2 linked regions of the Neodiprion lecontei genome follow. Each later gene encodes a partner of the first gene's protein in a complex. Links are inferred from orthologs where the notes say so. Each region holds a gene or a part of one and is shown in the gene's direction. Other genes may lie near its edges.

Region 1 (17,368 bases):
CAACGGAAAATCTGCGATAGACAAGCGTTACTCTCATATCATTGCTTCTTATTTCATATCATCTTTTTATGCATATCTATCAAACGCCACATCATATTATATTAAACAAAACTTACGTATCATATAAACATATATGGTATATATAAATATATATACTAAACTTTCAAAAAGTGCATAAAATACTTGAGTCGGTGTGTTTGAATCGCCGTTTTAAAAATATAGAAGGACATAACTTGTATTTGTAAAAAAAAAAAAATTGTGATTGTGGTATTTCTATACTTGATCTGAGTAATCAGATCTAAAGATATTTGGTCTAATGATCAAAAACACCGTTTGATCCTAAGTCCGTATATAACAAAGGGGACAACAGAGGTTCACAAGACAAAGAAAAGAGAAAGGAACAATTACATAAAAACCAAACGACGAATTTCATGTGAAGTTTTTTTTTTCTTTTGACATTTTTTACCGCTAACGACTTTACACGTTACGTAGTCTTGTGAACTAGTTTCAATGTTATGGTTAGTAGCCTAATTTTATATACAATATAATAACGAATTGTCTCATTGGGATAAATGACAATAGTAGATTTTGGCCAATAGAACAAATGTCTCAGTCTCCTAATTGTATAATGTAGGCTGGTATGAAATTATTTTGTGTCATATCAGAGCTGTAACGATTCTTACGATTGATATTCAAAGACATATATGTATATGAATTCGCATATGAAATTTCGCGACAAATTATATATTACGAATAAAGATATCGCGTATATGATATAATTGTATACTATAATTGGCCGGAATTATTAAAAATAATCCTATGTTTCTCGGAAACGCTTTTATGACACGGTTTCACGGTAATACGTTCGTCAGTACCAACATTGTATATGAATATACTTGAGAAAAGTATAGACGCACCTTTTGTATCGATTATATAGGGTGTCTAATTAAAATTTTTTCTTATATATAATGCTAAAGGAATTATAATATGAAATCTTAAGTAGACAATCTATCAAATTTACTTTGCTCCTATATCATATGATGTTGGTAATATATATGGTGAAATATTGAAACAATATACATACACGTATACAGATAGATCTGACAAGTATATATATATATTCAACACGTGTAAAGTTAAGAGTTAATAAAGTCATTTTAGGGTATAAAAATATTTTTGCATTATTTCCAAAATCCTGTTAATATTATATGTATTGGACTTCTGGATACGGTAAATATTATTTTTACAATTAGTATTATTAGTAACAGAAAAAGGATCGTTAAATCTCTTACGCAAATATATTATATTTCACAGATTAATTATAGATACATAAAACTATACTGACGTATTTACTTATTTCATTTTATTAATAATCTTAACATAAGTTACAAAATATTGATGTATAATTATAGAATTATTTTGATAGAACCTTAATGCAAAATATTATATTTCCGATCGGTCAATTGAGTATTTGAATGAAATTTTTTTGTCATATTTTAGGGGTGCATAATGCAGTGCAAGCCAAAATAACGAGGACGTATTTTTTGTTTTTCGTTAAAAATGATAATTTTTCATGTTATAGGTGATTGAATTTCACTGATTTTAATATATATATATAGATATATATTAGCATGGGTGACGTCACAATGTTATAGTTTTCAATCTGTTATATTAATGGCAATTTTGATTCAATCGAAAAAATAAAAAATACGTCCAAAATATTTTTTTCCGATCTACAAGAATATGAAGTAAAAAAATTTCATTCAAATACTCAATTGAAACAGTAATGAACATCCGGAATAACTTTGTTCAAACAGCCATTCTTCCAGCCATTCCACGCGTAGAATTTATGTCTTCTATAAATCTTTTTAGCGCATCGTACGTCATCGGTTATATCGTCGTCGAGTAAATCTGTGTTTGTACAACAATTTATCAGTGCGGATGAATGTGGATCAGAATAATATCAGGAATCCTGAATAGTTGGCACAATGGATGAATGAAACGTGCATAAATTTTCAAATTAGAACATCGAAACTGCAAAATTTGTTTCGGTACTACTTTCAATCTTAAACAATGCATGCAGTTATACCTCACCTTCGCATTTTATGTTGCAATCACTCCCTGCGACACCCAATGAACACCAAATGTTTCCGTTAATCTGTAATTTTATGAAAAAGAGAAAGATTTTAACTATTTGGCCAATTTCGACAAACTTTGCGGCGTAATTCGTCAACTTTTTTATATTTTTACTTGAAATAATCCGTAGTCGTAGCTGCCATTACGATTCGGCCCGCCAATAGCTGACGTATTTCTCGCGCTTTCCTTTTCCACCAAGCAAACCCCTGTTTAATTGATGTTAATTGTTAATAACCAGATCGCCATGTGATTTTGTTATTATTATACACAACATGGATTTTCCTTTAGCCATGGCAACTTTTTGGTACCACATACTTTTCATCGGAAATTTTCGTTAACTAACTGTTATATTATGTATAAAATACTAAGGATAGAGATGAATACGTGATAGAAATACGCGTTAAATGCCGTTACGTAATTAAACGGCAGTCATACTCACAATCATTCATTTTTCCACGATCTAAGCCTTGTCTGTCTAATTCCAATGCTAATCCACACCGCGTAAATGTTTTTCCTGTACAGTGAGAGACAGTGACGAGAAGTAGAGCCAATACAACGAATAAAGCTTTCATGATGTCCAAGCTTACTCGGGCAACTGATTTCAAATAAAAACGGGATGAAAATTTAGTATATGTATTTTAATCCGATGTCGGATGCTGTTACGGTCAATACTGACCCACGCGATGATAATTCAACAGCTTATTTTAAACTGAGATAATATTCCATTGCCCTGTTGCTATTTATGCCTGCGTACTTACTATATGCGCGAAGATAAGCCAAGATTGAAAATTAAGATTAACGAGATTGTCGTAAGTGGCGAATAAAAAAACTGAATTTTGATTCAGACGGTCCGACTGATTAACCCGCGGCACATACAAATGTTGCTGAAATGCCTCGATTTATCATTCATGCATTTATACGCAAAAATTCGATTACAGTTTATGTTTATTGGTACTTCCCCCAGCCCATTAATCTAACTGTAATTCCCCGTCTTGATATTGAAGTCCTTGACCGAAAGAATCTGTGCAGGGTCACAGATAGCGTAAAGCTAAAAGTCTTCAAAATGATATCCACAAAATATCTTATGATTTGTTTTTCAACGTCTAAAAGCCGTGAAAAACAATTTTTATATATAATCGTAGATTGTGTACCAAGGAGGTAAAGTATAACAACGTCTCTTTACGCCGAGCGCAAGTTTGCAATATGAGTCGCAGGCAAATACGGCAGGAATATTGCAAATACGCGAGACGAAAAAGACGTTGCCTCCATGGTGCAGTCGATACTTTATGTATCAAAAGTGTGGTTTACAAATATTTTATTATAGCCTAGCACAAAAAAGAGCACTGGAACGATCACTTGACGTTCGGAACGCAGGCAAAGACGCGTAAACCATATATACTGTGTTACATAAAGATGATTTTTCGATGTGCATTTCGTATTTGCATTTTAGAAAAAATCTATACCTATGTGTTTTCTTCTTGCTGAATGGATTTGAACACACATGATTTTTTCAATATTCACCTTCGTGGCAAGCATATTTCTATTTTTGTCAATTTACAAAGACTTGGTGCATTCAGCATTAAAATTAAATTCTGATATGTGAGAAACAATGATAGAGTTTATGTTTACCTGTAACGTAGCAGCTTCCATAACACTTTCGTTTCCGAACAATCACTTGTGCCGAAGGAAATCGTGGTGATCATTGATACACTTATTGATTGATTATTGGGAAAACGCTACAAAAGTTAATATAAACCATGATGTATATACACGTGTCACATTTATTCGTAGCATCGTGAATTATACACTCACATTTCATTTCATCACACTAAAACCTAACATACTGATTTTGCGAGAAACAATTGACAAATCATTGTTTCTTTTAACATTTTGTAAGTATGTGTAATGCAAGTGCAGTACTAATCTCTGAGAAACACTTTCAGAATCAGCTCACACGCGAGCTTTCAATCTGAAATCGATATGGGAATTTAGAAATTGAGAGGAGATGAGAGCAAAAATGGTTAATCGTCTCTTGGTGAACCAAAAATAGGAGCTTTTGACGTTTTATTGTTAAACAATCGACACTTTTTCATGCAACAGAGAAATCGTATTCAAAATATGAACAATACGAGTACGACTACAATACATCACCATCAGTGGCATATACAGGTATGTGTTTATATTTGCACCGCAAAATAAAGACAATAAGTAATCAAAATTTAACAAAAATTACATATCAATTTCACGCAGGATGAAACTAGTCTTCATTGAATTCTACATCCCCTTCAACCTCTTCGTCGTCCACGAACGCTGACTCGTCTGCAGAGACTTCTTGGTACTGCTGATACTCCGAAACCATGTCATTCATATTTGATTCTGCTTCTGTAAACTCCATCTCGTCCATACCTTCTCCGGTGTACCTGGAATGATGAAAATCAGTCGTATAAAATCATTGCTGGGACGATGCAGGCATGCGGTTGCTACGTGCGCTATAAACTCACCAATGTAAAAACGCTTTTCGTCGGAACATGGAAGTGAACTGTTCAGATATGCGTTTGAAGAGTTCCTGAATCGCAGTGGTGTTCCCGAGAAAAGTACCCGACATCTTCATGCCACAAGGCGGTATGTCGCAGACGGCTGTTTTTATATTATTCGGAATCCAATCGACGAAATACGAGCTGTTCTTATTCTGTATATTTGTCATTTGTTGATCGACTTCCTTCATCGACATTCTTCCACGGAAGATAGCCGCCACTGTAAGATATCTACCGTGGCGAGGATCGCAAGCTGCCATCATGTTCTTCGCGTCGAACATCTTTCATGTGATCGTAAAATGTATCGAAGGTTGAGTATAGTAAAATTGTAAACATTTATAGCTGGCTGCATCCTTGATTAGCATTGTATGATTTGCCTATGATTCAAATGGAGATCTCCTCACCTGCTGCGTTAACTCAGGCACGGAGAGAGCTTGGTATTGTTGACTGTTTCGCGCAACCAACGGAGCAAATCCTGGAACGAAGAAGTGCAGCCTGGGAAACGGTACCATGTTAACAGCCAGCTTTCGAAGATCAGCATTCAACTGTCCCGGAAATCTCAGACTGGTGGTAATTCCTACAAACATGTGCAAATCTTTGTATTGTACATATCGAACGATGGTTCTAAAGACACAGTGAACCCCATTATTCGTCAATGCTGTAATTATTGTACCCTCAGCTGCCACAATATATCTTACGCACCAGACATCGTTAGGGACACAAGGTGGTTCAGGTCACAGTAGGTGGGCGACGGTAATTTCAGCGTCCTGAAGCAAATATCGTACAGTGCTTCGTTATCAATGCAGAATGTTTCATCCGTATTTTCAACGAGCTGGTGAACGGATAAAGTGGCATTGTATGGCTCGACTACGGTGTCCGACACTTTTGGACTTGGTACTACGCTGAAGGACGTCATGATCCTGTTGAACAAAGTGCCGTAAAATTGTGTCTAAAAATATCAATGTCCGCAGCGGTATATTTGACGAGAAAATTCGATCATTTTTAGATACGTATAACATACCTGTCGGGAAAGTCTTCGCGGACCTTCGACATTATGAGGGTCCCCATTCCGGACCCGGTTCCTCCCCCCAAGGAATGACACAGTTGAAAGCCTTGAAGGCTGTCGCATCCTTCAGCTTCCTGCATATCAAGGTAATTTTCTGTATTACGATCATCACCCGCTGGACTATTGTTCGGACAATAATTTTCCTACCTTTCTTAGGACGTCTAGAACCGAGTCAACCAGCTCCGCCCCTTCTGTGTAGTGACCCTTAGCCCAGTTGTTACCGGCACCACTTTGCCCGAAGACAAAGTTGTCTGGCCGAAAAATTTTACCAAATTCACCCGACCGCACTGAGTCCATGGTTCCAGGTTCCAGGTCGACTTGAATCGACCTGGGAACATATGTGCTTTTTGCAGCTTCGTTGTAGTACACACTAATCCTATCCAATTGATCTCTCGCGTTACCAACATACTTTCCTGTCTGATCTATTCCGTGCTCGTTCGAAATCATGTGCCAAAACTACACAAAGTTTGGAAAAAAGTAAAAATAATGTATATGCTGCATATATCTCAAAAGTCTCATCACCTTTTTTTGGAATCTTACCGAGGTGCGAATCTTATATGTAACGCGTATCAGCCATTTTGTCCTACGAAATTTGATCTGAGACTAAATTTTTCGCACGATCCTTATATAATTCATCTTATCAAAATAGTAAAAAACCCTTAGAATTAGAGAGACTTACTCGTGCACCGATTTGATTGCCACACTGGCCCACCTGGACGTGAACAATTTCTCTCATCTTGATTCAATTTGGCGATGATACTTCGAATGACTTTCGTTATCAACTGATGCCAGACTGAATTGAAACCGTCACGAAAGTTGATTTTTTGCCACTGCAAGACGCCTGCTGTCATTATTGGTCACTTACCTCTCGTATACCTAATACAGGGCCGTCTAATAATTATTTCGATCAACGTGAATAGGGTTCCTCATAATTGTTACGTGACTCAAATTTTCAATCAATTGCTCAATGTTGTACATCGCATTGCTTTAAATTTTTAGGCTTGAATCAAAAGAATTTGTCTATCCGATAATTCTTTGTTCATCGGGAAGAACGGGACAAAATACCCAGAGCCTAGAAACGTATAATAGGCCGTCCCTGTAGCGTCGATTATATCTGCTCGAAAGGTCATCGTTATTGAAACCAATCAAAACATTGGGCAGTGAGCAGAATTGGGTAATACCATAATACACCTATAGGTATGTAGATACACAAAACTATGAACGCTACCACTGTAATATCAGATATAAAAGGTCTTGTTACCGAGTAGTTGGTGTTATTTCTCTAGGGCCATGAATTTTCAAATAATTCTGTATTCGTACAGATCTGAATGTTCGATTCAAACTTCAGGCACCTATGAGATGTGTGGATAATTTTTTCTTTTTTTTTTCTTTTGGTTTGAACGAGTTACATAGTCACACGTTATACGATCGGCGATTCAAAAAGCCTCCCAAAAATAGGGGCATTTCTTGCGAGTATGAGGATACGGTAAAGTATCATTTGTCCCTCGGTTCAGAAAAATTCGTGCGAACCCCAAACTGGGCAATTGTTCAGTTATTTCTAAATGACATTTTTTTGCAGGTGCTGTAATAATTCTGAAGTAAGTAAGCACATTGGGCTCATCTTCATCCAAGTAATGATTCTTCATTTATTTTCAACTGAAGCAGTACCGTAGTCTTATTTTTGAAAATGCGTGGTAGCGCCGAAAACGCCTGGGTACTTCTGTAGGCTGCAACCAGTCTAACAGGTATTTACCAAGGATTCATTTAATGTTAGTCAATGCTAATTGTAATTCTACCTTACCGACATCTTAACAATTCCGTAGAAGATCGTTCATCCGCAGACTTAGATTTTCAAATGGTATCATGGTGATAAAATTACCCATTACCAAAAACATTTTAGATCATAAACTTTTAGAATTCATAAAATGGTATCGAATTGTTACCGATGCAGTACAACTATACTCCTTAGTAATCTTACGCCAGCAAGGCCAGTAACCAGTAAGGCGTCGGCCGACGAACGGCTACGCGTTGACAAGTAGATCAGAATTATTAGCGATATTTACAAAGATTGTTAAAGCAACAAAGAGCGGGAAATAAAATTTCAAGTTTTAAAATAGTCATGAAAAAATAATTAAGCGTTAACGTGTCACGCTTATATCTAAAAACATAGCGTAAACAAACGGAAGCGGCAAGTAGCGGTGCTCCAAACTAGCCGACATTCATTGTGCCGTCGCTAAAGGGGGGAGAGGAAGACGCGACAAGGCACGGTCAGGAGACGAATGATCACCGCCATTTTGCTGTGCGTCTGTTGAGTGGAGTGCGTTTAGTTGACGCGGATAATTTTATTAATTATTTGTCAGTTATTTACGGTTTTCTGCAGCGTTGATGATTGGGATTCCGCGCGACGACCGCCACAAAATAACGGTTAAAATCCGAAATAATATGAAACGGAGCTCGAGTCGGGACACTCCACCGCCCCGTGTCAAGCGATCCAGATCCTCCATGGGAAGGTATGCCAAATGCTGTTCCACCTCAGGGTATCATAAATTCCAAACTCTTTTTACACTCTTCGTCAGTTGCTACGTTTTACTGAATTTCAATTCGGTCCGACGACCCTAGTTTACTTCTTACGCACGACGAAGTCGCTGGTTTGCCTGTTTTTAAATTCTTAGTATCGAGCTTCTACCCAATATGATTCGCAACTATCCCTGGAATCAACACTTCTGTTCATTGCTCTGAAATCCTTACCAACATTTTATTGCCCTAATCTCACGGTAATGTGGCATAAATCCGGTATTTACTGCTTGTTGACCACAGTATTTATGGTCAATATAACCTCCACTTGCGGTCTGCTGATGTGAAGCATCGGTTTTTTTTTCTTAGACGAGTAAGAGTATAATCTCATGCGCTGTTTTCAACCTCGTATGAATTCCCGATATGTGATTAGTTTCGTAATTTTTTGATAATTAAAATATTCTCGTTCTTTCTAAACTATTTTTCTTTACTTGTTTGACAAGAAATGTTGCCCATTTTTTCAGATACGATGATTCGAGCGATGAGAGGATTACACCGGAACGAATCAGACGGCGCTCTAGAGGGGCTCGGAGTCCGAGTCCTCCCAGAGCATCCTCTCATGCCAGATACGTTGAGTCCAGTTCTCACAGGGACGAGTATATGCGAGCACCCAGAGAGATACCGCCTGAGCGTCCGTACAGCTACAAGGTCCTCTGCGTGAGTTCGATACATCCAAAAGCAAGCGACGAAGTAATAAAAGATACCCTTTACCGGGAGTATAAGAAATTTGGTGACTTTTCCATACGAATCTCTCATGAATTGGACGAGCGAGTTGCTTATGTTTGCTTCAGAAGTTCCGAGGATGCGAGAGACGCGAAACATGCAAAACCAAGAATTATTTTATACGACAAGCTTGCCTTGGTTGAACCTGTTTATGAAAGACCCGAATCTTACCGACGACCCAGATCCATCACTCCCCCAGATTACGAACGTTACTATGCCAGGTCACCTGGGCCCACAGAGAGGCACAGACCGATTGAACGATACGAACGAGTTTACGGACCACCAGTTGGAGTTCCACCTCACAGGGAGCTCAGAAGAGAAACAATTCCACCTCCTCATCACGAATTTGTTCGTCCACCACTACACCATGGACCACCACATGTTCACCCTGGTCCTCCGCATCATTATGGACCACCCAGACACATGATGATTCGTCATCCTGTTCACGGTTTTGAGAGAATTGAAAATAAGAAAGACAAGTTTCCAAACTATTTGCATCATGTTTCACCTGAGGATGATCCACTGGCGACTCGAACCTTGTTTGCCGGTAATTTGGAGATAAATATTACCGAGGAAGAGCTGAGAAGAATCTTTAGCAAGTATGGAATCGTCGATGACATCGATATCAAGAGACCCCCACCGGGTACTGGAAATGCTTATGCCTTTGTCAGGTTCCAGACTTTGGATATGGCACATAGATGCAAAGTTGAATTATCTGGCCAGTACATTGGTAAATTTCAGTGTAAAATTGGGTATGGTAAAGCTACCCCAACGACTCGTATCTGGGTTGGCGGTTTGGGGCCATGGACATCCGTGCCTCAGCTGGAGAGAGAGTTTGATCGTTTTGGGGCAATTAAAAAGATTGATTACATCAAGGGAGATAGCAATGCATACATTTTATATGATTCCATCGACGCAGCCCAAGCTGCTGTGAAAGAAATGAGAGGATTTCCGCTTGGGGGACCAGATAGGAGACTGAGGGTTGATTTTGCTGATGTTACTCCCGGGTTTGGGTTCAAACCTAGACCGTACCCAGAAGACGCAGCTGAGTTTCGACCAAGACCAGTGGAATATGAATCTCCGTACGATCCTTATGCTCCTGAAGGTGAATTTGCTTATGCTCCAAGGGGATTCAGGGGTCGTGGAAGTGCCCCATGGCACGATAGACGAGGAGGAGGCAGAGGGGGATACCGTGGAACTGCTTATCCTGAGGGATATGTGAGAGAAGAATCTGATTGGCCAAGCCGCCGGCCACCACCTGAGCTCGAATATGAATCACCAAGGGGCTTGAGGCGCTCATTGTCTCGGGAACCAGGTGTAGATCGATCCAGATCACGTTCTCCGCGGAGAAGACCTGTGGATTCAGATTCCGATTCTGAAACAGCTAGAACAGGGATGCTGTCTACGTCACGAACTCTTCCTGAAGTTGCACGAAAGTCTATAGCGGTTTGGCAAGGCGCTTTGATATTAAAAAATTCTTTATTTCCAGCTAAATTTCACCTTACAGATGGAGATACAGAGATAATTGATGCGCTGATGAAGGATGAAGATGGGAAACATATGCTGAGAATAACGCAGCGTCTTCGTTTAGACCAACCAAAATTAGATGACGTTTCTAAACGCATACAAACATCCAGTTCACATGCTATATTTTTAGGTCTTGCCGGATCTAGCGCTACCATCACGAACGATGACGCAAACGTGCAAACTCGACCTCTAAGAAACTTAGTGTCATATCTCAAGCAGAAAGAAGCTGCGGGAGTAATATCTCTGTTGAATAAAGACACAGAAGGAACCGGAGTCTTGTATGCCTTCCCGCCGTGCGCCTTTTCGACCGAACTTTTGAAAAGAACTTGTCCCAGCCTTAGCGAGGAGGGTTTGAAAGAGGATCACTTAGTTATCGTTGTGGTGAAAGGCGGCAGTGCCTAAGTTACGCTTACTCATAAGGTTTATTAAAGGTAAACGTGCTGAATACTACAATACTATTACATTACTCGGTCAAAAATTTGGCTGATTTCCTCAATTTCTGGTTGAATTTTAAGGAAAGTAACTAATTACGATTAACGTACAGATGGTCTATACACAGAGTATTTAGCAGATCAGTGTTTCTAGATTGTCTCAAATTAATCACACTATATTACATCTGATTGTGCACATCTTTTTTTTTTTCCCCGAAACAAAGCTCTTGCAGAATTATTTGATTTTAATTATTCAACTAATGAGTAACAAAATCTGGAACTTGTATAGCTTCATTTTTCAGAAGCCCAAAATTTATCGGTTCATTTTTAGAATCAGCCAAATTGTAAAAATTGACGAAACCACGTCCAAGGGGGTATGCAATAGCCAAATACCAGGACATAATAATATGTTGATATCAAGTGACTGCTGTGGTCAGAAGAATTGAAAGTTCTGACAAGGCTGTTAGAAGAAGTACATGTATTAAGCATGGAAATAATAACTTATGGTTACGAAATGTTAGATATAGCTTCACGAGGTAAGCGCTCTGATAACAAAACAGTACATTGAAAAGTTGCAAAGTTCTTCCGAAGATTGATTTAAAAATGGAATACTTATTTTTATGAAGATGAAACATTATTTTAGTAATGTTCTGCATAACTTTTTTTTTCTCTTAATCCGAGTCATAAACGTTGGACCGTTATGGCATATGATATAATGGTGAATCATAATCTATTACATAACTTAATTGTAGTGAACCTATTCTAATTAGTATACATACTCAGTTAATTATCATGTACACAGTTCTTTCACATTTGTGATTGTACGAATTTTGCTGCAGTGCATAAACGTCTTAGGATTTATATATACACGCGTATATATAAATATAAATATATACATATACTTATGAAGGGATGCAAATTACATTAATTGATGAAAATTTTTTAAAGTAAGGTGTCTGCAAACTGAGAAATAATGGCAAAAGTATTTCTTACCTCACGCATTAATATACTTTTTTCTTTATCGCGATTTCTGTAAATAATGATCATTGTTATTCTTATACAAAATGCGAAAGGACTGGTCAACAACTAACTACTAGTTTATTGTTAAATTTACAGAATATCAAACGGTCACATCGTATAATGAAAATATTAAATTCAGTTAATTTACTTTTATATGATTTAGATTTTAGATGCATAAGATTTAAGTGTTTGTGCTATAAATTATCTGTGAAAATGATATTGAATTTCGTTAACATGGACAGTGATTGAGTGGCCGTGGGGAAAAATGAACAGCAAAATCTCTTCTAAAACCCTAAAAAAAAACTTCGTCTAATGCCGCGAGAATCATTGGCAACATGTTAAGAAATCTGTGAACTTTACCATAAAGGACTGTGTTTGGTGGTATTAAAAAAAGAAACTACAGAAATCTCCAATTGTGTACAGTGATGTAAAACAGTGCTTGTGTTCTCGCCTCCGAGGGTGTTATCATGAAGGTATGAAAATAACATCGATCTTGAAATCGAACCCTCAGAACATCTGAGATATGAGAAAGTCCAAATCGCACTCGGAGGCGAACTAAGGTGCGGTGGTAAAGTGTATCTGGTGTTGAAAAGAAAAGAAATGAAATGAAAAAATAGAGCCGATTGCAGACAAAACTATTGATTGTGTTTAATTTCTTAGATATGTCAAAAAAAAATATGCCCACCCATCAAGTTCAAGTTGAAATGAGTTTAGTTCAATTAGTGGTTGAAAATTATCAATAGCTGAGTTACGTCTGTGATTGTTTGTTCATAAACAAAAAATCAAGTTTGCGAAAGAAAGAAAGAAGGAAATGGAAGTTTCGAGTTATGCTAGGATATTCAAAGTTTTAAAACAGAGTTCGCCAAAATTAACAAACTATTCGGTTGATAAAACAATGCATGCTTGTGCTTAGAGAAGAACATAGTTGTTCTTTGGTCGTTTTTTTATCTCCATTTTTTTCTGTCGGCTTTTCTTTGATTTTAGTTCAGTGGTCGTGAAGTTGGTGTTGTGGTTTGTTATTCGACAATGTTTTAATACGCTGATCGATCTCAATCTCATGACAGATGGAAAAAGAAAATACGAGTTTTGTCAAAAACAAAAAGAAACTAATGATCTCAGTGTAACCAGTGGCTTGTGCCAGTTTATTTCTTGTTCTAAACAAAGTAGTTGCGAAATATTGGTTCTGAGTCATCATATTGCAAATCCAGAGAGATAATTGTGCTTTAGTGATCATGTGGCTTGTGATTAATTTGTCTAAGTTTTTGTTTATTTTTTTTTTTCCATCATTTACATTAAAATAAAAAAGTTTCTATTGGTAAAGAAGAAAATATTATAAACTGGCTTTTCGAAGATCGTTGCTAATTTCATAGTTTTGGAACTCTGGGTGCTAAGTTCTCCAAGTAAAAAGTTTTCGACACTGCTCTCCAAGTACCCAAGTTATCAATATAGTGAAAGAAATCATATTGTTTAAAATTTACGCTTTCTTCCTTACTCATCTTTGAGGAAAATGAAACTGTAAAAAGGAAAGACTAAAGGAGAGAGAAAAAGATTGACTATTGTTAGTTCGTCGTATTGACACGATTGTTGTTAAGGCTGGAAGTTCAGTGCACAACTTCCTCAAAATAAAACGAAAGTCCAGAAAATTTGCATGTTGCACTAGTGAAGTGAGTTTAGTGGTTCTCTAGTTCAATAGCAAGTTGGTGAGGTGTTCTCTTTTTCAGATTTTTGACCGCTTTCCAGGTATTCTGGCCTTAATATCTTTCAGAGGCAGAAATCATCGCATGATTTTCAATTCCACATAAAAATAAAAAAAAATAAGATTGAAGTGAGACCAGAAATTTTAATAGTGCTGGATCGTAGAAGTATTATGGTTTTTGCCTCTCAGAGATACTTAAGGATCTTGTTCCTCAACCACATACTGATCGTAGCTTAATAATGGTTCAGCCAGATTTTTTGGATTGTACGGTAAGTTGGGTCGCCGGGAGATATTTTTTTATGTTCCAGATTTCTAAACAATGCTGCCAAATCCAGCGGACTTAGATGTCATCAGAAGCTTTTAATGAATGCTCGAACTACAAATGAAGATTGATGTTGTATGATCTACAATCTTTGCATAAATAAAGCATTTTTTGATGTACATAAACAAAAATACCCACTAATCCTGTTATCGTTATTCAGAAAAAGCTAACATAAAAGGACGCACCTACAAGTTTAACATGTTTACACTATCAGCTATACTATGATTGTAAACATTTCTTATAATAGTTCAGCGATTTTTTACACTCATGACGCAAACCCATTTCTCGAGTTTCTGTTTTTAATTCTGTACAAAGATCTGAAATAGAAACGTGATTTTTTATATACAAACATAAAAGTGTGAAAGAACGTGTTCAATTGTTCAATTTTCGGTAACTAATGTTCTGTGCTGTCATAGAATATGCCATCAAATCGGTTGTAAAAATCGACGGTACCGAACGTTCTATTTGGCTCGTAGAAAAAAAAATGAATACGTTCACATCTAACGGAAATTGACAATTTGAACAATCGTTCGATGTGTCGAATTTCGCTGATAGTTTTTTTTGCTTGAAAATCCTGCGTCATGATTAAATAAATGTGATTGCGCGATTATTTACAATGACTTACCAAAATGACGATTTTTTCCCGAAATTTAGATTTTTGGAATTTTGCATGATTTTATACCTTTAGTACCGACTGATGTCAGTCGTTGATTGGAGAATATATGTCAGTCCTCCGTGAAAGCCGTTACTACAGGCAAAGTCGTCGGTACTCTGCATTAAAGTCGACTAAACGTATCGTTGACTGAAGAATTATCATCGCCGATACTCGTCACATCAAGGCGTGTTTCACTGAGAAAATAATGACACCATGATTAAAATATTTCATGATTAGTTACGTTTTCTAAGATTTCATATAATTTCGTTTTCTCATGACTACCAATCATTACAAAGTAGAATTTTATTTTAATATTGCTGATTTCAGTGTGATTTCGGAGAGTATGAAATCATTTCGAACGATATTAGTACCATGATTACTTGAGTAGAAGACCCCTTACGTGGCATTGCAAGTTAATCATTGTACAGTTTTGCAAATTGATTTTAATGAGGTGAGACATTTTTTACGTGTTGAATACGAAAAATATAGTAATTTCCATTAAAAATCTCCCGAATAGTGCTGAGTCGTGTTTTAAATATAAAGTCTGACGTCAATCTGCCGATCAACTACCCTTACCGACCGGAAATACGCTTTACGCCGTTCTTTGAGTTTAATTTGTTTGAAAGCACAGGAAACGATGGAGCGTTGGAGGCATCGTTTCATCAGAGCCTAGAAGAGATTTCTCTCTGGAAGAGATCCAAAACCAGAGAACCGAAAATGATTAGTTCGTTATATGGCAGATAGACGGGGTTGCGTGGTAAGCGCTGCAACACGTCACCAGTGTGTTCGAGTCTTGAGACATTGCTTGAATTTTTTTTAAATGTACGCACAGAAATGTCAAACGACTGAAGGATAAATGTGTTCCCATATGTGAATAACAGATCAAATTATACCGATGTATTTTGAAACGGATGTTTAATGCTCGCAGCGGAAGTATGGACATCACTGTAACCTAACTTTTACCGATCTTCAAGTATCACAGGTGAATAGCATTTTCATACATATTTCTATGAAATACTTACTATAGAAATCATTCGCATGATACCTTAACATGAATATTAATCGCATTATGGACGACGTGTAATTTGCATGTGTAGTATATCAAAAGTATAAGTACCGTAAGGAATCATTGGTCATAGCTGATTAAAAGTTCTCTTAAGACAACAATTATTGTCGTAACTTGAAAAATTGAAGAAAATAAACAGTTTTCAACTATTTTATTGGTATAGTCTTCTGGTGATATGTACAAAACGTCTAATTCCAAATAGTATTTTTCACCGATTAACCTGTTGCAAATTTTCCGTTATTATTAGGATACCAGAACGTTGAGCAAAATGTTGATTGGAGTCGAAAATCCCCATGCGGAGATGGATCCAACCCCTCCATCACCCAGCTTCGATGGCGCCAGCTCCACATCATCAACGCTGGATTCTCCTTTAATGAAATTGTCCTCTTACGTCTTGGCCCTTAGGCCATGGTCATTAAGTGCTTCTTTGATGCCAACTCTCCTTGGATCGGCACTTGCCTATCGATTAATAGGATTAACGAGCTTTAATTGGATATCACTTGTACTTACTTTATTCACGATCGTCTCGGTGCACGGGGCAGGTAACGTTGTAAACACATACTTTGACTATGTCAAAGGTGTGGACAGTCGAAAAAGCGACGACCGAATATTGGTCGATCATATTTTATCTAAAGATGAGCTCGTATCTTTGGGTGCAATCTTATATGCCGCAGGGTGCTTAGGCTTTATTTTACTTACTGCCATTTCACCTGCTAAAATGGAGCATCTGGCTCTTGTTTATTTCGGAGGTTTGTCATCCTCGTTTTTGTATACCGGTGGTATCGGCCTGAAATACATAGCTCTAGGTGATGTTTTGATCTTAGTCATATTTGGCCCGATATCCGTTTTATTTGCATTTATGGCACAGACTGGATACGTTGAATGGGGCACAATGTATTATGCCATACCTTTGGCCTTAAACACAGAGGCTATTCTACATAGTAACAATACAAGGGATTTGGAGAGTGACAGACGCGTCGGAATAGTAACTTTAGCAATTTTGATTGGTCACACAGCGTCACACGTTCTGTATGCCTTTTTACTGTTCTCGCCCTACATAACGTTCGTTGTACTTGCATTGAGGTACTCGGTGTGGTTTTTGTTACCGCTGGTCACATTGCCCGCAGCATTTCGAATAGAAAAAGAATTCAGATCTCCAGAAACTATCCAGGGCGTACCAAAGCAAACTGCTAGACTAAATATGTTTCTTGGAATATTGTACGTTGTAGCTTGTCTACTTATCGACCCTCTTCCTTACCTTCGTTGAATGTAACTCAATTATCAGCTAACAGGCACTTGCAAATATTGATACAATATGTGAGGAATGATTGTAAAGCAATGACAGCTTAGATTACCTCCCAAAATGCAATCGAGTTATAAAGTGAATTGAAATGTGTAGAAACAATGTCTCAAGTGATCTTGTCAAGATGCATATGAATGAAAAATCACTCATACATATTGTATTCTATTGTCAGTATTTGAAATGCGGTTGTACTAAAATAAACTGATCATAAACTAATCGACAGCAATGCTTATGAAGTTTAATTGGACTGTCGCTCATGGATATTTAATGATTATTTAATCATTGAATTACAATAGATGGTAAGAGGCAAGGGCT
Region 2 (15,931 bases), on another chromosome or scaffold:
GTGCTTAAATAAAAAGAATAAAAACTGCCTCAGTTTTCGAGTATACAATTGTTGCAAGTCGTAGTTTGAGAGACATTGTAGAGAGGTTTACATCGTAGTTAGAGAATAGATTTTGAAATGATGAGATTTTCATTATGGCGATTTTAGATTTGTGTATTTTTCTTTCTTATTTTTCTCTTTTTCATCTCTCTGAAAAATAATTACCATAGACCGCACTAGTGCGGTATCGATTTTATAACGTATACAAATATACACAAATATATTTACAACTATTATACAAACACATGCACGTGCTATATGTATTATAATAAATATAATAACAAATACACGACACGTGAAATCGTTCGAGGCTGCTTCAGCCGTAAATTTATAATCCGCGGTGTTCCTTAGCTCTACGTATTAAAAATTATTAATATACAATTTTACGCTCTGTATATGTTGATAAATAACTGGTTAATATTTAACTTTGAACACGTTTCATCAGATTACGTATACTAATAATAATAATAATAATAATAATCGCTCGTCGAGAACTTGAATATAATACTGATGAAAGAAAAAAAAAACAACGTAAAAAGCGAATTAATTAAGATTAGAATAAACTATATTAAAAAAAAAAAAAAAAAACATTCGATCAAAAATAACAAGTCTTTACATGATCATAATCAATGTTCACATTTTCAAATAATTCCGGTTACGTTCACTCACTATATATTTAACAACATTTTTTAGGTCGTTCTGTCCTAACGTAATATGTGCAGGAAAAACTTTCACTATATAAATTGATTATAATCTCTGTATACATATATATGAAATTACATATCAATCGCCATTTTTTCAACGATCAAGTGCACGCTTGTGTAAGTGGGCGTCGGAGTTTTAAAAAACGCATTGAAAAAATGAAAAATAAAAAAAATAAAAAAAAATAAAATAAAATAAAAAATAAAGAAATAATGACACTTGAAGGGCATAACAGAAACAAAAGGGAAAATGTAATTCCGCGCCGTTTGTGACTGTAATTTTTGAAGCTAACTCGCTTTAGAATAATTAAACCGGTTATCCGTTATAACCCACCAATTCTGCACTTTTTTTTATCTAATTTGTTATAATCCACCTACGCGTTTCAGTATTATTCATATTCCGATTGTGAAAATCGTTGGATAGTTAATTTAGGCAGTGCAGATTTTCTTTTCCTGTCGTTGACCGATTTATCGTGATGATTAGTAGATTTTCTTTTCTGTTGTCGGTGTGAAAATTGAATAAATGAAAATAAAAAAAAAATAATAAAAAAAAAAAAAAACGACCTTTTCTTCTTTTTAACGTGGAAAAGAAGGGTTTCCTCATCTATGCTATCATATAATTGGAAAAGGGTAGAAATCCTGCGGTGATTTTATTTCTTCCACATTCGATAGTTTGTTTTGATTTTCCTCTTTTTACAGATTTAACTACTATTCTTATTACCGTTGATTTTGTTAGGCACGGGGACGATCTGTATACCTATATAATAGCGTATTTATAATAAAATTCTACATGAAATGTACGGCTTAACACGTTCGCTAATAGTTAATTAGATTGAAAATAGTCATATACTGTATACATAGTATACATGTAGTTATTGTCACACATGCAATTAGTTTGTTTCGATAATTCGAATTATATTGAATAATTATACTTGGAGGCTAAAGTATTAACTGACGTTATACGTGTGCTTTGTTTAGTTCTTTTTTTTTTCTTCTTTCTTCTGATTTACTATAATTACTTATTAAGGTATTCCGTCGTATAATAATAGTTGTAGATCGATATTTCTCGTTGTTATATTTATAGTAATGTACTAATAGTATACTAAGCATACCTAGTTTCAATTTTGGTGTGATTTCCATTATATTTTTAAGTGAGAAGAAAAAAAAAATTGTAACACAAAATTGCCTTGATCAGAGCTCCTGCATCCTACAGACGTGCGATTATAGAAGTATAATATACGTATACGTTGTATGCATTTGATGGATACCTGGATGCTACGATCAATCGATCAAACGAAAAATGGATTACCGATTTTCGGCTAATCAGTATTTGGAAAAATTTCCGATTGATTGATCGATCGGTTGTTTGATTAACGAAATTTCACCTAATTCGAACATTTGACTAAATCAATCCATCGAGTAAAATGGTTTTTATAAAAACTATCGATTGAATTAATCGAGAAACTAGAATGATTTTTCGATTCTTAATTGAAAGAATTGGGACTTTTTATTAATTGATAAAGAAATCAATCAATCCCTAGGTCTCATGTGTATAATAATATGTGTAATATATGTTCGTTGTTGCTTTCTATTGGAAAAACGATATTTTACTTTAATTCTCTGTAGGTACGTGTGTAGGCAGGACGAGTTACTCGTCCGCTTTTGTGATGCAAAAAATTGTTTAAGAAAATCCGGTTGTGACGTGTAAACAATTGAATGGTATGAAATTTTGACAAGGAAATAAAAGGGAGGGATAAAATATCATGGGGTGGAAATTCATATTGATTACACAACTTATTATTACTATCATTATAATTATTAGCATTATTGTTGATATGCGTGAAGCTAAGCTGCATAATAATTGTTCATTTTTTTTTCTATCAAATTATATTGGATTGATCGTTGTGAACCGCGTCAAAGACCACAACGTATAGTCAGAATTAAATAAGCGTTGGTACGTTAAATACTAACTTTCAAAGATGATATGCAAAATAATTCTTTTAAATAAAGTATTACTTAGAGCGTAAACGTGTATGCCAGATATTTTCAGTGCTCCCACAGACCTCTGATACAGTTACACCCTGCACTAATATTTACAATCGCATTATTATGAATGCCTTAGGCATTTGCTGGTCATTTTGCAATTTTAATTATTAATTTCGAAATATTTTTGTGAAGATTTAAAAAACAAGTTCGATATCATTTTGTAAATATTGCAAAATGTTTTTTCAAAATGGTTCCAAGTCCCCGCGATGAATTTTTGAAAAGACAAGAAATTATATCAAACCGAAAGTTGATGGAAAAAAAAGGAATAGTATAGAATTCAATTGAACCGATGAAAATCAACAAGACGACGGTTTGTTGAGATTTTTCAAACATTTTGTTGTAATGTGAACTTGCCGAGTCTTTTAATACTTTTGGGACAATTTTATTGTTCTTGCAACAAGATAGAATTTAGTTCGAATATGCGCGGAAATCCTGAATACATTTTTTCTTGGTAGTAATCATTTTTCTGCAGACGGTAATTACGTAATCTGACAATGCGTGAAGAACGCTACACCGGGTTTATCTCCGTAGCGTTCGCGTATCTCTTACAACTGATTTAGCTCACAAGTATGCGGAGTTGAGAACATTTCTCATCTCGTCCTCTGACGCGATATATTGTAAAGTCATGGCGTATATGCTGCTTGTGGGCTGAAACTACATTTCGCCCACACACGACTGAAGAAACGGCAGCATTTGTATATGTGCGGTGACCACGAAGCGTCAGAGATGATCGCATAGCGTCGACGGCTTTCAGTGATCATATTGAAGTTAGTAACGTTATCGTAACGATTCATGCTGAGGAAAAACCGTTATTAAGCAAGTTTGGAATTGTTTGAAATTTAGTAAACTGTAACAAAACAAAACACACTCATAATTCAAAATCTTAGTGTAGTGATTGCCCCCAATGTTTCGATACCATAACGTCACTAACTTCAATCTCGTTTTCAGTGTGGGTTCTTTATCGCAATCAGGGTTCAAAGATCAAATAGTGCCGAGATCATTCTCAGTTTTTAGTCGATCTTGACGAGCTACATATTCTCGTTATGCGGGCTTTTGATCAATACGTTGTTTTCGCCCTGATCACGATTTTCTTCACCGTTGCAATCGCCACGTCTGCAGCATCAGACGAGCTGAGCAATGACGTAGACGGTCAGGAAACCGTTTCCGTGGTTCAGGATGAGATTCTCCAGGATCTTCCCTCCGAAAAGATCGCTACAGAATCGGCGCATGTTGCCGGTAAGCAGGACACTGACAGACCGGTAAATGGGAGTAAAACCGAGGAGGATCCAAATAAGCTTGATAATCTTTTCGAAACGGGTGTCGAGTCGTATCTGAACGATGACTGGCAAGGGTGCATCGACGACTTCCACAAAGCCCTTAACAGGTTCAACACAGTTTTATCTTGTCTACACAATATAACATAAAACCCAACGTCTCTTTGTCTGGCTGCAAGTATGTTCCCTTATAATTCGAGAACTACCGAACCGTTTTTGATCATTTTTATTTCTGTGGATAGCTACAACGTCTGGTCGGGTTTTAAGATACAACGATGTTTGTAAGCTAAGTTGGAACAGGATCGCACACTTATGCGAACGCTGACTAAACTTTGACAGATAGACGAAAGTTGGGTTCAAGAATTTAAAAGGTCTCGATGAGCTCTACTAAAAAGTTCGCGTTAGCGGTAGCATTTTCCATAATAAGTATTTGTAAATATTCGTGTACGGATCTGCAATGGGCTTTTAGTTAATTATAAGTTAGTAGGTAATTATCGATGTTTATTAATGCAATACATGGTGCGCCGCAGCTACAAAATGCACAAAAAGACGGTTGCTGATTGCCGAAGACAGTGCCGAGCGGAAGTTAACGATGTTGAACCAATATTTCCGTACGACATAGAAGATATGCACTTCTTCGAAAGAAAAGTCAGGGAAACGTTGTGTTTGATGAAATGCAAGAAGATCGTGAGGAATAAAGACAATGATAGACAGTTGCCCGTTCATGTGGAGAGGAAGTACATTGAACGTAAGGCCTACGAGTTTCTGCACATTTGCTATTACAAGGTATGTACAATTTACTGCTGATGAAGTAAAAACGGATTTCAAATATGAGAATTGTTGGAAAAAAAACTTTGGTGCCGAAACGAAATCCCACCATGTCATTTCATTATATCTCGTGTCGCATCACAGATAATATGTTTGTTTTTTTACGCGCGTTATAGACGAAGCGGTACCAGGATGCGGCGAATGCCATTTTCACGTTTTTGACCATTCACCCGACGGACAATCAAACCTTGAGGAACATGCAGTTCTACATAGATCTTCCCGAAGTCGTTCAAGAGGATATAGTAGATTTGGAAAGTGACCCATTCCAAGCAATGTACAAAGATGGAGTTATAGCGTATTACGAAGAAAATTATCCGGAGGTTATTGAGCAGCTTGAAAATTCTCTTAAGGCTTACATGAAAGCTGAAGAGGATTGCAGATTGTATTGCGAAGGTCCATTCGACCAGGGATGGCTTCCAGACTTTACCATGTCCATTGCGAGTGAGTTAATCCGAATTTTCATTCCTAATACGGATTGGCAATTCGCGAATTACATTTGAAACTTTGGAAATTCTTGTCTTATAGAATTTAAACGTTATGTAAACCCAATTTTATTTTCTAGATCACTTTGCTTTCGGACTAAAATGCAAGCGCAGCTGTTCCTACGCATTAAATAAACTCAACGGGGAACAGCGCCACGACTTGCTCATATCTCACTATCATTATTTGCAGTACGCATATTTCAAAAGTAAGATCTAGGAAATAGTTTCCCTTATAGACTTGTGTTTCCATTGTGGATTGCTCATAGTTTAAATTGCTTGTTTAAAAACCGTTTTAGTTGGTAAATTTAAAGAAGCGTGTGCCGCGGTTGAAAGCTTTTTGCTTTTCATACCGACCGATGAGACCGTTTTGAGAAACAAGAGATATTTTATGGAACTACCGGAAGTCAAAGAAGAATACTTCAAGCCACGCGAGGTAATTAATTATCATTATTAGAGTCAGGAACGCACGGTCTTTGAGAATAACTAAGGATCAAATAAATTGATTTGCGAACTTTTATTTCTTTTTTTCGCAGGAAGCCGAGTCGTACTTCAAGAGGCAGGAATACGAACTGCGCATTCTGCTCTACATACAAGAACAATTTAATTCTGCAAAAAATTGAACTGAACAAAACGCACGTCCAAGAACAATTTAATTCTGCAAAAAACTGAACCGAACAAAATGCAGTTTACTTTTTTACAATTAATTTTATGCATACATTCGTTTACATGCATTAATAAATATACGTAAATAATTAAGCTTCTTCAAGCTCAGAGCGCAAATCACCTGTCTTTTAATTGTAGAATTGAAACTGATTACATGATTATTAGGAATTTCGGATTGAATCAAATAGTGGAAATCACAAACCCGAGAAAAACTATAAGTAATTAATTTTACTTTGAAACAAACTATTTCTTCTGATTCGGAATTTTATAATTTTCGAATTAAACCGTTTTTCACTTACACGCAAATCGATCTATTTTATTTTAATTTTACAAATCCTGATCAGATTTTGCCGAATCCGTCGCACATTTGAAAATCCAAGTAATCCCATAAAATTGTCGAATTTTCTTTAACCACGAATAAATTTTTTACTTTCAAAAGTTTTCTATCCACGGATATCGATCAGACATTTTGCATCCCAAGTGAAGCTGGCAACGCCGAGTTCACCCGCTTGAATATTTATACTCCCGGGAAAAAATTCACAAGCAATTCAGTTGATAATAAGATTTATTCGAGAAATATTACAAAATACATTTACGGCGATACCAAACTTTTGATACACTGCGAAAGTTGATTCCTAGTTTCCTACAATGCGTAATAGATAGCCAATTACAACTTCGCAAATAAACATAACCTATACCTAACCTAAAAATACCGCATCCGATTTTCTCGTTCCTACATTTTCGTATATTTATGAGCCAGTAAAAGTTTCGGTAATATTTTTTTTTTTTACTTTATTTTTCCTAGGAAATCGAGGCTTAGTTGTTGTTGTTCGAAATCATAACCTTCGTATGTGATAAGGAAAGAAAAAGAGATGAAAGATGTCTGATGCATTTGAGGAAATTCAGGCGATAAAGATAAAGAGGAACAGTCTAAGAGAAAAATTGCAAAAACGTAAACGAGAGAGACACGAATTATTCACTCTCACTTCGACCCCACCAGCTACAGAATCATCTGTGATTGGTAGCTGTTTAATTTGTTGTTTCCATTACTTTCAGTCTCGTATTTCTGTTTCAAGCCTCTAATTTCAATTTCAGACACGACTAATAACAAATCTGAACCGGTTGAATACGAACAAGATGTCTTGCGAATTTTGCATCAGTGTATCTCCAGCTTACCAATCACATCGACTGATCTCACAGATCAACTCAGAAAAGCTCTCAGCATTGACATATCATTTTCAGATATCAACAAGCTCTTGGAAAAATTATCTGCACAAGACATTATCAGGTATTTACTTAATGAGAAAAGTTTTTTATGCGAATAAACAAAGCACGTAATCTCGCAATATTTTAAGACATTTCATCCGCAGGATCAAGGAAATTACAGAGAACGATGTCGTCGGATATACAATTCTGTCTATTGCGGAATCGAATTCCCAGGCAGAGTTGTTACATACTGAAAACATCGTTGAAGAGGAAAAACTGGGGGTTTCACTGCCTGCCGCAATCGAGGAGGAAAGTCCACCCGAAAAACAGACAAAGCTCGATAAGAAGAATACTGAGGACATCATGTCACTGATATCTATGCCTACAATAAGAGAAAAGGAGAGTAAAAAAGTCGGGGAACAGATACTGGACCTTTTGTCAAAACAAACATCGAAGGAGAAGTCATTGGCCGAACGTTTTAGGTCTCAGGGTGGTGCCCAAGTTATGGAATTTTGTCCACATGGTACTCGTACAGATTGCTCCAAGCTCAATGGCAACAGTCAGCCAGGGTCTGGGCAAGCGTTCAATGAGAAGTGCAAGAAATTGCATTTCAAGAAAATCCTTCAAAGTCATACTGATGAAAGCTTGGGAGACTGTAGCTTTTTGAATACTTGCTTCCACATGGACACTTGCAAGTAATAATTGACTTTATTTCTTTTCCCCGTTTTATAGATTCATCAATGGTGATAGATTCCTGTGAAATTCGTTGATAAGTTTAGATAAGTTCAGCTCTATTTGTTTTCATTTTTTTTTTGTTTTCTCTTGTGCATGTTTCAGGTTTACCAAACTCGGAAAACTAATGATCGAGTCGATAAATTTAATGATTTAGAAACCGAATTGAAGTTGGGTAAAATCAGTAGAGATTAGTTCACTGGATTTCATTGCGTATCACAAAGTACTTCTAAACTAAATTACTATCTTCAAAGTTGCTCACAAAACACTTAAATATTGGTCATCACGTACCTTTGAAAATATTCTTTAAGTACAAAATAATGGGCTTTCGAAATTTCGAAATAATTCTAACAATATTCCAGAATACAGAAACCAAAACTTTTTAAATCATCTGTTTTCAAGGTACGTTCACTATGAAGTTGACGGTCCCACTGCGCAACCTAAAGATCAGGGCGAAGCAGACACAACGACTTGTGGAAATACTTCCAGAACAACTGCTCTAGATCCAAAACCAGTGAGCAATAATAATGGCTCAACGGGAGCATCGGACCTGACACTGTATCCTCCTCAGTGGATCCAGTGCGACCTGAGATATCTGGATATGACAGTGCTGGGAAAGTTCGCAGTCATAATGGCGGACCCTCCTTGGGATATCCATATGGAGCTTCCCTACGGGACAATGTCGGATGACGAAATGCGGCAACTCGGAATCCCTACCCTGCAAGATGAGGGTCTCCTATTTCTTTGGGTGACCGGACGAGCCATGGAATTAGGCAGAGAATGCCTCCAGTTATGGGGCTACGACAGAGTGGACGAGATTATTTGGGTGAAGACTAATCAACTTCAGCGCATTATAAGAACTGGGAGAACCGGTCACTGGCTCAATCATGGGAAAGAGCACTGTCTGGTTGGTATGAAGGGATTTCCCAGGGTAAACAGAGGTCTGGACAGTGATGTCATCGTGGCCGAAGTGAGGGCGACGAGTCATAAACCCGACGAAATTTATGGGATTATAGAAAGAATGAGCCCGGGAACCAGAAAGATCGAGTTATTCGGAAGACCGCACAACGTTCAACCGAACTGGATTACTCTGGGAAATCAGGTCGACGGTGTGCGATTAATTGACCCGCAACTGATTAAAGCTTTTAAGAAACGCTATCCCGATGGAAATTCGATGAAGCCGAGTAAATCTTAGCGATATTTAATATTCTGTATATTTAGAACAAAATTTTCAACATCGCAACCTTGAGAATCTTGACAGCGGACGGATTATTAACAATAAGATAGGAATTACAACTTGACCAAATATTTTGTGATTTTTAAGTTTCAAAATGGTGATTTCAAAAATTCAGACGTGCTGGAATTGAGCAAACAGAAAAAATTTTTAATAAAAAAAATACTAAAAATATTCATTTGTTCTATTTTTTAATCAATGCCACTACAACGATACAGTAGGTACGATATTTGTACTTGCTTTTTTGTGTCACTTTTTCTTTAAATATATAAATCATTATTATAATAGTTGTTCCCAAATTAGCAATAGCAATATCTATTTACAACAAAGTTGATAAATTACTGATCTGAAACAATATTGGAAAAGAGACAGAGTGTCTAAATACCAAGGATATGCCACAGCTGCAGATTATCTCTGAAAGTTCCAATGGATAGAAAAGAACAAGAAACATTTACAGCTTTATTCTATAATTGCAGTTTTGAAAATGCAGAATTATAGAATAAGCCACGTGATCTCCCTTTCTGATTGATGTGATTCTTAAAGTAAATATTTAAATAAATTGACAGATTTTTCACACAAACGAATGAAAGGTTCAAATTTAATTTTCACTAAATGAAAAGTAGCTTTCTTTGTTTTTTATTCTTGGAGAAGATTCCGAAGTAATTCAGCGAATTCGGATCATCAGCATTAAAACACCCTGCAAACTTTGCTGGTGTTGAGTAAAACGTGCGTCTTATCGTCGCCTAAAAGATCTCTCGTCGAATTTAAAAATAATTATTAACTAAAGAGAAAGTATAAGAAAATAAAACCTACGCTTCACGAGTCGTAACCTAATATCATAAAACACCGCGTTTGTCCGAAGTTCTCTATGTATAAATGCAGGAATATATATATTTACATTAGTTGGATCATAAAAAAGTATGACTGATCCAATTATATCAAAAATGAATGCGCATTATTTATCACAAAATGAATTAATTTGCATTGTCTTTCGATTATTTGTATTGTCTATGCAATATATGAGTTCAAAAAAAGTTACGCGGCATAGAGAACACAAAATTGATAGTACACCGTGAATTCTGTTAGCAGTTTCTTGAAGCTGGCCAGGATGTGATTGAAAATTACAAATTTGCTATGACCAGATGTCGCATAAGATAAAAAGTATAAAAATGAATGGATAAAAACTCAAAAAGTCAAAATATTTGAACCTAATATTAAAACTCTGAAATCCGGATAAAAATAATGGATGGCCATAACGTTAAAAAATATGAGAGAAAAATCAAAAAAAAAATCGTTGTATTATAAAATAGATACTTGTCAGAAAATGAAAAATTTAAATTTTTTTGCAATTTCTCTCAAGCATCGATCACACTTAGTCCTGGTTTACCAATTTATGGCTTCGAATTAATTACTAATCGCAATTTATCAAACCGAGCGATTCGCGTAGTTGTTACATCCGAATACGCAATATATATTTAAAAGGGATGAATTTTGAAAAATATATTCAATTCAGCGCTAGTTATTATCCGTGGTTATTAAATATCACACATTTGGACTCCATTCGGATAACCGCATTTGTTTTATCGTCTCAATCGATTGAAATTTCCTTACGTAATCATTTTTTCATAGGTATTAACGCCGACAACGATAGCACTGTGAATGGATTTAATTTGTTTTTTTTTAGTTGCCGGAAAATGAAACACCAGATCATCCGTGATACGTTAATTACAAAAATGACTGTGAAACCATGCGACTAAAAAAATATGTATAATTTCTTAACGCAATGGATGTATATGAATATAGTAGTTATATATGAATAAATCATAGTACTCTTCACACTAGGCTGATGCTGTTTCTTTTATCCCTGAGAAGGCTTTTTCTAAGAGAAATCGGAAAATGACTGCTGCACAAATCTCCGACAGACTTCAGTTTCCTTGTACTTTTCGTTATCGGGGACTTTTCGCTGATTTCACTCATTTTATCCACGTCCTCATTCTCATTCTCATTTTCATTTCGATTCTCTTTTTCTTTCCTTTTTTTGTTCTTTTCCTCAGTTACAATAATATTTCCATCGTGATTTCTTTTTCCATTTGTAGAAATAGTATTTAGCCTACGAAAAGACTCAATCCAATGCCGTTTTGCATGCTCATCGTCAGCATTAAGCGTGTGTTCTGCAACCTTGAATGAGGTAGTATGAATTTTTTCACCCGCCTCGATTTCAAACTGTACCCTTAACTGATCTCGTAATACGACAGGGAAACATGGGTTACACTTTCTGCCTGGTCTCCTCGCTGGACGAGCCAGTACAAAGCAGTTATCAAACAAGAAGCAATGCAGTTTCTGCAAAACAAAATTACTTTCGGTTAGAACATCAGCGTGCTAAGGGAATTAAAGAAAGAAAATTAACTCAATTGAGCGCACCGTTCCTTTAGCATCTCTCAACTGCCCCTCGGTAATGACTTCCACAGCATTTTGTATGACTTTATGAGGATCGCAAACTGGCGAGGGGTTGATTTTATTCTGGGCTAGCTTGCACTCCGAATTTCCCATGGCTTCGTCGATTTCTATAAGTAACTTGGACAGTATATCACTCACTTTTCTCAGCGCTGTCTGATCAGGATGATTGCACGGGGTGTGCCTGAGGATTTCATTAACAAGGATAGGATACTTGACGACCCTTGATCTCGGAACGTCCAAGTATGTCCACAAGTCAACGGCCCGTGGAACACTTGTTCTTTTCTTCAGAAATTCTTGGAAACGTTTATTATTTGCGCGTTTTGCCTCAAGCAAGTGTCTCGCCCACACCTGCGCCTTGCAACGATCTACGTAGCGCTCGGCGAGACTTGGTAACTAAAATAAGAGAAAGAATGAAGTAAGTGTAAATAAATGGTTGCACCAACTTTGTGTGAAATTGAATTCGAAATCTGTAGATTCTGATTTTCTTGCATAAGACCCTGGAGAATATCTTATGAGAAAATGCTTGATTCACTATACGTATCGTTTTTGAATCATATCAAGACTATTATACCAATTTTTATATTCTTAAATTAAGAGCCAAACAATTTGGTGTGCAATAAGAACGAACCCAGCTGATTAAAATGGTTCCAACAGCATCCGTGAAACCCGACTCGTCTCGAAGACAGACCAGTTCGTCTCTAAGCTTTTTGTGGAGGTCTACAAGGCTGGAAATGTCTCCAAATAGTGTGGCGAGTTCACCTGGAGTCAGGATATCGCTTCGTAGCAAAGGCTCGTAATAGAATTCTCTGAGATTATCAAGGTCCCGCAACAACACATCCTCCCCGCAGAATAATTCATAGATCGCCTCTTGACGTTTCACTTCTCTTCTACTCAAGCTCAAATCCAGGTGCCCGCTGGATTTCCCTTCCGCAATATCCACAATCCAGCTACGGATGGCCAGCTGATCCAGTCGCTCCGCGGTTACTTTTGATCTGTGCGTAAACCCGGACGGTCATATATGTGAGAAACAAAATTAGAAGACGGACATCTTTTGTGTTTGATATCAGTGATGGATTATTTTCAGATATCAAAAACCAAAGTTTAAAGAATCAAAGCTTCAAGGCAAATACAAAAGTTTCATTAATCGTGTTTTAAAATTACATTGGATTCATGTGAATTTAAACTCTGTGACACATTCTCGAGTTCCTTACCTTTTTTTTGTCTTTCCCGAATCAACCTCCTCTCCAAGGAGAGAAAGATCGGTTACTTGAGAGCTGAACGATCTTTGAAGAACACTTCCAAATTTGCTGGGTGTCAGAGATGAGGAGGAAGAGGAAAAGAAGCTCGATGCGACTTCGGTAATTCTGCGTCTTTTTTTCTTCTTGATACTATCAGACCCCATTGATATATCCATCGAACTGACACTGGCCGCATCGCTATTTCTACGCTTCCTAGATCGCTGGAATGGTACGATTGACATTAGGGTGGATACTTTCAGGTGTGAGTGAGTACGACGTAGAAGAGTTGATGAGCTGATTTTGGAGAAGCGATTCAGAACAGCAAAAACTATAACGAATACGTTACCATCCAAAATCTCTTCTGAGGTTCTGGAAAGTGATCTTTAATTGACGTATCGCGATCCTCTTCCATCTCACTGCCGCCAACTCACTGAGGGAAATTCGAGTAGCAAGAATTCGGTCGGATAATGATTAGTTAAAATAACCTAACTTTCGGTTGGCGGTAAACTGATATCCAACGGATGGCTGTTGTTTTTAACTAGAACTAATTAAGTTCCGAGTAGGTAATGTGTTTTTAATTATTTTTTATGATAGGTCGAGACAATTTAGGATAAGACACATCGTTCGGCGGTCATTGACACAAATCGTCAGACGCCATTTATGATGTGAATTCGAATATGTCACGGTAACAAGCAGATTTGTGTTGTGTCGCTCAAAGTCGTAAAGCAGAGTTTTCATCGACGATGAAAATTGGACACGAGTCCACGGTCTGTGAAAATAACATAGACGGAGTAGTATCGAGATTTCGAAATTCGAGCATTGAAAGCGAACGAGTGCAGCGATTGCGAAAACAATGAAACATTACACGCCAAGCATTAAACTCATTTTGTTTTCTCTGCCTTCAATTATTTCCGCCCTTAATCAGTCGTGTTCACGAATTTGTTCTAGCAAACATCTAATTATATATTTACGATAGCGTTAGATTTTCGCCCGTGATGATAATCAAAAAGACGTGTTGTTGAAAGGACTTTACGACGGTAAGATTGTAAAATCTATTGCATTTTCGTAAGTACTTTCGTTTTTTTTTTCACCATGGTTATCATTATGTAATAGCAAAGCTCTCGGTTGTCAACACAATTATTTCCCTGGAGATAATACATAATTAAACAAAAACAACGAAAACAGAAGACAAATAAAGAGAGTGAACATTTTTCGCCGTCAAAGATACATAAGAAACATTTTAAAGCATCATTATTTTTTTACGAATTCTAAGCAATCGTCATGATAATTCGAACGCGAAAAAATTCCAGATTATTCTATTGAGACGAAGAGGAAAACTGCGACATAGTGGTTATATACGTATTACAAACTAATCGGCGACGTGCACACGATCTGTGAATATTGATAAGCCCCTAATTCGTAATACCTAGGCCTGTAAATGATCTAAAAGACACGAAAAGTCCATATGTGAATTTTTGAAAATATACCATAAACTGTGAATTTGTCAAAAGCATGACGGGACATCAGATTATTGGCAGTCGATCTATCGACAGCGAGGTATCGAGTTTGTCGCTTCACGATTCATCGTTAAACGAAATCGATCGATGTACATCAAATATCGATAACTCGCTAAATTTGTACCATCTTTCGAAAATTGAAAAATGCTTACTCTACTTGTACAACACTCTGGACCTTGAGGACGATGATCGTTGTCATAGATACAATAATGACCAAGATTCGACAGTGAGCAATGCCTCGATTCTTGCAAATTATACAGAAAGTGAAAACGATATGGAAAATGAATACAGTGTAAGAAATTCCTGTGATACGGGAAAATTATCACCGGAATATGACGTCAAACGGGAAGGTTTTTCTCAAGTAAAAATTGAAAAACCGACTCACCGTTACATCGCTAAGAGAAAAAAATACAACAGGACGGTAAGAAAGAGAAATAAAAATTACCGGAGACAAGCGTCTCATGATGAGATTACCGAAAATTTAAACAACTGGGCAAGAATTGGTAGTAGTCGGGTGAAGTTTCACCCTTTCTTAAGAATATTTGACAAGAATGGCTTTGCAGTTACCAGATCAGTGAAAGACCACGACATTCGAACCCTACGATATTCGAACACGCCTAAGTTCAACTCGTTCCTTTTGAAGGCAGCATTAAAATACCGCGATCCTAAATTACTCGCAAATGCAGTAGTTTTCGCAAAAAAAAGTATTCCACAAACTGGACGCCGCGTGGATGCCAAAAGATCAGGGGCGAATATAGATAGCATGCCGGAAGAATTCCGTGAAGTTAATTCAGGTATTATCACATTTAAGCGTTCGTATATGATGATGCAGCGTATGAAAAACTTCGCAGCACAACTAATGTGATGTTTTATTTGTTCCAGGTAATGATTCAGACAGTTTACAAAACCTTGCAGAGCTAAAGTCTAAGGAATTTAAAATCCGCAAAAAGAGCCCACTACCGATCGACTTGTCGACTACAGCACTTGATTCGAAAATACATGTTTCAAAGACAAACGGTCGATTTTTGAATCGACCAAATTTGGATACGCCGTCAATGTTCCCGGGTGAAGGACAAGAGACTCTCGGGAGATTTCAAAATACAACGTCGGATTTCGAAAACGTCACAGTTCGAAAAAACATAGCGTCTTTACAGAAAGAAATCAAAGTAAAACAAGAAGTTGTTGTTATTAATGAGACAAAGCCAAAAGCAGAGTGGAAAATTTTTGAGGAAAAAATTGATCAGATCCAGGTGAAATCTGCGGAAACAGAAGAAATCAGAAGTCAAGTTTGGTCTAAAAGGAGGTGTTCCTTCAATTTTCAAATTGAGGAAAATCGACCGACAGCACAGGATGTAAGTAATAGCATGAAAAAAAATGCTGAAAAACCACTTCTTTCCAGAACTGCCGGAAAAATTCAACGTGAGCATGACACAGTGAAAATTGATTCTACTTGGCAAGAGGCAAAGGAAACTGTTGAGAATGAGGTAAAGATTTATAGAGAATCATTGGAAAGA

What was found.
Region 2: RNA-binding protein spenito (region 1) and N6-adenosine-methyltransferase subunit METTL3 share a complex: the UniProt entries of both Drosophila melanogaster proteins name them as parts of the WMM complex. The link is inferred for Neodiprion lecontei from reciprocal best matches to the Drosophila melanogaster genes nito and Mettl3.

The regions. Positions count from the first base shown.
Region 1 is NC_060260.1:35,828,629-35,845,996, forward strand, and holds RNA-binding protein spenito, read left to right. Parts: upstream 1-7,745; 5' UTR 7,746-8,121; coding exon 8,122-8,246; intron 8,247-8,774; coding exon 8,775-10,962; 3' UTR 10,963-12,603; downstream 12,604-17,368. Other genes in the region: lysozyme, read right to left, coding at 1,772-1,911, 2,095-2,158, 2,251-2,342, 2,576-2,708; tubulin beta chain, read right to left, coding at 4,394-4,556, 4,638-4,951, 5,075-5,247, 5,373-5,590, 5,692-5,810, 5,884-6,192, 6,416-6,472; ubiA prenyltransferase domain-containing protein 1 homolog, read left to right, coding at 16,019-17,017. UniProt on the Drosophila melanogaster protein: RNA-binding protein that acts as an associated component of the WMM complex, a complex that mediates N6-methyladenosine (m6A) methylation of mRNAs. M6a modification plays a role in the efficiency of mRNA splicing and is required for sex determination.
Region 2 is NC_060264.1:30,604,715-30,620,645, reverse strand, and holds N6-adenosine-methyltransferase subunit METTL3, read left to right. Parts: upstream 1-6,489; 5' UTR 6,490-6,685; exon of another isoform or gene 6,686-6,838; 5' UTR 6,839-6,912; coding exon 6,913-7,054; intron 7,055-7,128; coding exon 7,129-7,321; intron 7,322-7,403; coding exon 7,404-7,934; intron 7,935-8,373; coding exon 8,374-9,166; 3' UTR 9,167-10,108; downstream 10,109-15,931. Other genes in the region: prolyl 3-hydroxylase 1, read left to right, coding at 3,830-4,170, 4,591-4,846, 5,005-5,329, 5,451-5,576, 5,667-5,803, 5,904-5,990; neuroepithelial cell-transforming gene 1 protein, read right to left, coding at 11,039-11,545, 11,627-12,055, 12,291-12,654, 12,874-13,121, 13,247-13,312; uncharacterized protein LOC107228079, read left to right, coding at 14,692-15,211, 15,300-15,931. UniProt on the Drosophila melanogaster protein: Catalytic component of the WMM complex, a complex that mediates N6-methyladenosine (m6A) methylation of mRNAs, a modification that plays a role in the efficiency of mRNA splicing and is required for sex determination.